2 linked regions of the Xenopus tropicalis genome follow. The main gene of each other region encodes a partner of the protein of the gene in region 2 in a complex. Links are inferred from orthologs where the notes say so. Each region holds a gene or a part of one and is shown on either strand. Other genes may lie near its edges.

Region 1 (3,757 bases), on a different chromosome or scaffold from region 2:
GAGTGTATTTCCTGGTACCCATGTGACTGTCTCTGCTTCCTGTGCACGGGGGAGTGTATTTCCTGGTACCCATGTGACTGTCTCTGCTTCCTGTGCACGGGGGAGTGTATTTCCTGGTACCCGTGTGACTGTCTCTGCTTCCTGTGCACGGGGGAATGTGTTTCCCGGTACCCATGTGACTGTCTCTGCTTCCTGTGCACGGGGGAGTGTATTTCCTGGTACCCATGTGACTGTCTCTGCTTCCTGTGCACGGGGGAATGTGTTTCCCGGTACCCATGTGACTGTCTCTGCTTCCTGTGCACGGGGGAGTGTATTTCCTGGTACCCGTGTGACTGTCTCTGCTTCCTGTGCACGGGGGAGTGTATTTCCTGGTACCCATGTGACTGTCTCTGCTTCCTGTGCACGGGGGAGTGTATTTCCTGGTACCCGTGTGACTGTCTCTGCTTCCTGTGCACGGGGGAATGTGTTTCCCGGTACCCATGTGACTGTCTCTGCTTCCTGTGCACGGGGGAGTGTATTTCCCGGTACCCATGTGACTGTCTCTGCTTCCTTTGCACGGGGGAGTGTATTTCCCGGTACCTGTGTGACTGTCTCTGCTTCCTTTGCACGGGGGAGTGTATTTCCTGGTACCCGTGTGACTGTCTCTGCTTCCTGTGCACGGGGGAGTGTATTTCCCGGTACTCCTACCCCGTGTCTATAAACGCATTGGCTGATACACACAGAGCAGTGACAGACAGTTTCACACCCTTTGTGTGCTGGTCTGGTAGTCAGTGCTGGGGGTGTGTCAGTGCGCAGTGGGCGTGGTTACAATGGCATTTGGGTGGGTAACGGGGCAGTTTGGGGGCCACTCGCAGTCTCTCACCTTCAGTGGGGTTGGGCGGTTGGTCCTTGTTGATGCCCGTCTGGATGTTGCTGAAGGAGGCGGGGGGAGCGCACTGCTGGAGGACCCCGATGGCATTGCAGAACTGATCGGCCAGCTGGAGAGACAAAGGGGAGGGGTTACAACTCCATTCATCCAATGCCCCCCTGGCACTGAGGGAGTTAATAGGCTGGTATTAAACTGACCTGCTACATTGTGTCAGGAGTCAGAACCTGGGGGTGGAGCTGGGCACTGCTGCCAATAGCAAGTACTTATCTGTACCGGGATATATATATAGGGATTTACGGGGCTATATATGGGATATATGGGGCTATATATAGGGATATACGGGGCTATATATAGGGATATACGGGGCTATATATAGGGATATACGGGGCTATATATAGGGATATACGGGGATATATATGGGATATACGGGGATATATATGGGATATACGGGGATATATATAGGGATATACGGGGATATATATGGGATATACGGGGATATATGGGATATACGGGGATATATGGGATATACGGGGATATATATGGGATATACGGGGATATATGGGATATACGGGGATATATATGGGATATACGGGGATATATATGGGATATACGGGGATATATATGGGATATACGGGGATATATATATGGGATATACGGGGATATATATATGGGATATACGGGGATATATATGGGATATACGGGGATATATATGGGATATACGGGGATATATGGGATATACGGGGATATATGGGATATACGGGGATATATATGGGATATACGGGGATATATATGGGATATACGGGGATATATGGGATATACGGGGATATATGGGATATACGGGGATATATATGGGATATACGGGGATATATATAGGGATATACGGGGATATATATGGGATATACGGGGATATATGGGATATACGGGGATATATGGGATATACGGGGATATATGGGATATACGGGGATATATGGGATATACGGGGATATATATAGGGATATACGGGGATATATATAGGGATATACAGGGGGATATATAGGATATACAGGGGGATGTGGGATATACGGGGATATATATGGGATATACAGGGGGATGTGGGATATACGGGGCTATATATGGGATATACGGGGATATATAGGATGTACGGGGATATATATGGGATATACAGGGGGATATATGGGATATACGGGGATATATATGGGATATACAGGGGGATATATAGGATGTACGGGGATATATATGGGATATACAGGGGGATATATAGGATGTACGGGGATATATATGGGATATACAGGGATATATATGGGATATACAGGGGGATATATATAGGGATATACGGGGATATATATGGGATATACAGGGGGATATATGGGATATACGGGGATATATATGGGATATACAGGGATATATATGGGATATACGGGGATATATATGGGATGGGGCGGCGATATAATCCGCATCAGCTGAGGGAACCCTCATAGACATGGGGTTCTGGGTAATAAGATCCATTGGACACAGTGTGGGGGCTGCGAGCAATGAATGGAATAAACCATTAGTTACAATGTGACTATAAAGCCGAGATGGGACCCAACTGCGGGCAGCGAGAGGATGTATTTCCCTTCCCCACAAACCCCACAAACCCCACACACAGATAAAGCGCTCACCGAATTCAGCGCGTCCTGGAGCTGCGTCAGCCGGTCCGCCATCTTTCCAGCTGGCAAAGCCGAACCAGCCGCCCATACCTTCAGCGCCGCTTCCTATTGGCTAACTGGTACAATAAAGGTTTCTATTGGCTAAGGGTCACTGCGGCGTTTTCTCAATAGGAGGAACGAGAAACGCCTATTTCTATTGGCCAGCCTCAGTAGAGGCGGGGTTGTAACGGCGGAAAGGAGACTGCGCATGTGTACTTCTACCTACACTGGACGTTCCCTGCCAACTTGCTAAATAGCGTTCAGTGTGATACCTCTTTTGGTCGCTAGAGGGCGATGCTGCCTATTGGACAATTGTATTCAGGTTTTATATTCCATTTATGATGGAAGGGGGGGGGGGGGCCATAATCCTCCATGGGCTACACTTTTGCTGTGGAGTTGCTGCTACAGAGTCGCCAGTCTGTCTATGTTGTTTCAGGATAAATAGAATCAAGAAGAATTTAAAGAGACAGTGTTATTGGTGCCTGTGGGATTGCTGGGATTGCTCTCTAACCCTGATCCTGTTACTGGGGGGTCTCAGAGAGCGAGTAAATAAAGATAATTCCATAGAGATACAGTGGCCCTGGGGCCCCTGGTTAGCACATAAGGGCCCTAAGAAATTGGGACCCAAATTGAATATGACTTTCCCTTATTATCTGTATTGAAAAGCCTGTGTGGGCAGTGCCTGCTTAGACTTTCTTTTTTGTTATTGTGTGCCCAGAACATTCCTTCTCTGTATATTTGTATTTATACATATGGGTAGGAGGTGCCATAGTGTTTCCCTTAGACAGTACAGTATGGGGGTACAGCTTATTGTGTGCCCAGAACATTCCTTCTCTGTATATTTGTATTTATACATATGGGTAGGAGGTGCCATAGTGTTTCCCTTAGACAGTACAGTATGGGGGTACAGCTTATTGTGTGCCCAGAACATTCCTTCTCTGTATATTTGTATTTATACATATGGGTAGGGGGTGCCATAGTGTTTCCCTTAGACAGTACAGTATGGGGGTACAGCTTATTGTGTGCCCAGAACATTCCTTCTCTGTATATTTGTATTTATACATATGGGTAGGGGGTGCCATAGTGTTTCCCTTAGACAGTACAGTATGGGGGTACAGCTTATTGTGTGCCCAGAACATTCCCTCTCTGTATATTTGTATTTATACATATGGGTAGGGGGTGCCATAGTGTTTCCCTTAGA
Region 2 (3,657 bases):
TTGAATATTGTTGATATGCACTGATCACTCATTCTACATGTCCCTTTATTACCCAAATGAGATGCATTTTACCTATGATGGGATCCATGACATGCCTCTTTTTCACTTTGGTTTCTGTAATGGCTGCATAATATGCACAGGTCATCTTAATGAGCCAGGCAGCCCTCATCACAGGCACTGAGAAACGAGCTAGAAAGCCGAAGACTTCTTCCTTCTTTCCAAATATGGGTACCTGCATGTCACGAAAAAGAAAAGAGGTTATGTTTGAAATGTAGGCTGTACCATATTTACTAAGTGTTTTTATGATTAGATTTATGCACAAAGACAAAGCCTGTTATGCTTTTTCCTAATGTGTTCACAAAATTTGGAAGATACCACAGCAGAGATATTCTTACTTAAAGGAACAGTAACACCAAAAAATGAAAGTGTATAAAAATAATTAATATATTATGTACTATTGCCCTGCACTGATAAAAGTTATGTGTTTGCTTCATAAACACTGCTAAAGTTTATATAAATACCCTGCTGTGTAGCCATGGGAGCAGCCATTTAAATTGAAAAAAGGAGAAAAGGCACAGGTTACTAAGCAGATAACAGATAAGTAGCCTAGATTCCCATTGTATTCTACACAGTTATCTGTAATCTTCTTATGTAACCTGTGCCTTTTCTCCTTTTTTCAATTTAAATGGCTGCCCCATGGCTACACAACAGCTATTTCTATTAACTACAGTAGTCTTTCTGAAGCAAACACACAACTTTTACCAGTGCAGGGCAACAGTACATTATATTTTAATTATTTTAAAACATTTTTATTTTTTAGTGTTACTGTTCCTTTAAGACTAGAAAATCAAGGGAAAATGGCTGCAAGGGAAGTTTTGGAAGTTTTTCAAGATGCACAAAGGTTGCACCAATGGTAAGACAGAAGGGCTGAAACGAAACGACTTTCTGACTCCATATGCCTCTATGGCCCATCACCATTGCCAACTATTCTATGTTGCAGTTGACGGGCAGTTAACTTCTTGGCTTCTATAGCGTTCAACAGAATTAAAAACCCCAATCATTGAGAAACAACTGAGGAAGATATAAGAGATTTCAGTCCGGTGAGACCGAAGAAGGGACAAATAACTATATTAGGTGTTTGATTTGCTCTAGTGCAGGCCTAAAGCCTAAATCTGACATAGTGATCTATTCTTAGTAATAAATTGTAGGAATGCGTTTGCAGATTAAGAATGTAGTACATTGAGCATGTTCAGAAATGATATGAGCATGACCCCTGCCCTCAAACTTATAGTGCAACCCTTACACTAAATGGTAGGAGAGGGTAATTGTCCACCATATATTGGATGCTCGAAGGCATTCTATTATTTTGCAATTTATGTAGATCCTGGTGCTCTCCAGCTGGAGGTCTGGTGTTTGTCTGACAGCCAACAGGGCAACATCATGGTTATAACAGTTTAAAGGGTATGGTGAAAAAGCCCTTTGCAGCACCATGAATAGTGCTGCGATGATAATAACTTTAAAGTTTTCTCTGTCAGGTTTCAGCAAACATTTAGGAAGCTTTGGGGTTACAGGTCTCTTCCAAATAACTCTGTTTTTAGCAGCAGACAATCTCAGCCTAACAATTACATATTATAATGGATCAAGAATAAATCATTTTTAATTAGAATTATTTTAAAGGCAACCGGGACAGTCAGTGATTGCCATTAAAAAGGACTTGGATCGCCTGTTCTTGCACAAGAAAGATGTCTATCTTGAATCTTCTAAAACACTAGAGGCGCCACTGCCAGCTGCTGTTTAGTTTCAGTCTCACTTCCACAGCATATGTGGCTTTATGTATCTTGCTGCATCCTACTGTCGGGATCCGTTACGATCAGAACTCCTTCGCCCAAATCCTTTCAGAACCCCTTGCTAACCTCAACCCAGACACCCTCAGCTCTGCTTTCTAAAACGTTTTTTTGCACAGTTACAAAAAAAGTCTACAAGCATATATTTTAAACATATATTATCTTAGTAGGTACTCTGCAGTGGTCACTACAAAAATTACATGATGTTTCCAAGGTTCTCTTCTGTAAAGGAAACCAAAGCTCTTGTCTTGTACATGTCATATTACATACATATGCACAAAGCGATTAAACATGTGACTCACTTTTTTTGCGAGGTGTGTGAGGGGCTTGGTACCAGCCAAGTCCGAGAACCAGGTGTTGATTGAACTCTGAGTGCGAACAGTGACCAGCATGAAATTGTCCTTTTGATTGACCTGTGGTTTCCTGCGGCCAGTGTCTGGCAAAGTGTTGCAACGCAGCTTCTCTGACATGATACTGCTGAAGTTAGAGCTGATCTATAAATGCAAAGTAGAATTTATTTAGAACCCAGAAACAAACAAGGTAACTGGCATTGGCTAAATATGGAGGATATTTGGTTTTGGATAGGAGAAATTACCTTGGCAGGGTTAAAGTTGACATTTTTAGCACTGCCATGTTCATCTGCCGACACAGCTGGCTGATTGTTAAATCCTTGTTTCACATTCAAAGCTGTAAGTTCATCCTGGAAGAGTACAGGAACAGTACATTCCAAATGTCAGTATCATAATAGGTTGTAATCAATTTTCAAGCAACACTGAGACATCTCCACCATGGGCCAGCCTTTTTTTTGTTTTTAATAATAATAATAATTTTCTGTTGCCAGGTCAAATAAATCTAGAAGTATAGCATTTTACCTTCTACTGCCCTACAAAGGCACAATATATTTTGATTTTTGCTGTTCAAATGTAATATTCTGTATAGTGTGCAGTTACCCCTAAGGTCAGCTTTATGCACAGATGTCTTCCATCTAACTCCTCCACAGCCACCACCTCGTCATCAGCTAGCATTTGTACAGCTAACCCTAACCAAGCATAATATATTACCATTGCTACTATGCTGGCCAACCTTCCTCAAGACTGTTCTTCCATATCCAGTATCCTTTATCCATTCCTCTCATTCTTCACTCTGTCCCTTCGCCTCAGCTACCTTACCAAACTCCAGATTAGGCCCTTTAGAGGCAAACCTCCACCAATCCTCCATGACTAACCTCTCTCCCGTCTCCACTTTTCCCTTGCTAACATCCACTTTGCTTGACAACCTGCCTCAAGCATCCATTTCTAAGGATGCCTCCATTCATCAATGTCCTCCAATTCCACCCAGCCTTTGTTTATGCATAGCCAACTTCCACTTCCCCTCTGACCCACCTAACATTACTATGCAGTCTTTTTCCCAGAAAACTAATCTCTGGTTTCTACTTATTCCAGGCCATCCTCTTGGCAACCCACACTCTTCCCTGGCACAGATCTCACTGGCCACCACTCTTCATGAGCCAGTATCTGGTCTCCATTTTTCCTTGTACAAACTTTCACTGTCCTTCACTCTTTACTGGAAAACCTCTCAAAGGCCTTCATTCTTCTCTTGCCAGCTTCTTCTCACTTCCTATCCAACGTACCCCTAGCCCTTTGATTTTCCCTCAAAAACCTTCAGAAACTGACCCTAAACATTTGGCTAGCTTTCTCCAGCCTTTTCTGGTCAACATATGACTCAGCTCTTCAGCAGCCAACCTACCCCTGCCTTGGCTCTTCTGTGGTCAACCTCCCAAAGCCTTAACTTCAACATTCTTTCTTTTCTGACC

What was found.
Region 1: med12 (region 2) and med21 share a complex: the UniProt entries of both Homo sapiens proteins name them as parts of the mediator complex. The link is inferred for Xenopus tropicalis from reciprocal best matches to the Homo sapiens genes MED12 and MED21.

What each region holds. Positions count from the first base shown.
Region 1 is NC_030679.2:3,066,219-3,069,975, reverse strand, and holds the start of med21 (mediator of RNA polymerase II transcription subunit 21), read right to left. Parts: upstream 2,598-3,757; 5' UTR 2,572-2,597; coding exon 2,530-2,571; intron 978-2,529; coding exon 863-977; intron 1-862. UniProt on the Homo sapiens protein: Component of the Mediator complex, a coactivator involved in the regulated transcription of nearly all RNA polymerase II-dependent genes.
Region 2 is NC_030684.2:44,402,743-44,406,399, reverse strand, and holds part of med12 (mediator of RNA polymerase II transcription subunit 12), read right to left. Parts: intron 2,545-3,657; coding exon 2,440-2,544; intron 2,339-2,439; coding exon 2,147-2,338; intron 233-2,146; coding exon 73-232; intron 1-72. UniProt on the Homo sapiens protein: Component of the Mediator complex, a coactivator involved in the regulated transcription of nearly all RNA polymerase II-dependent genes.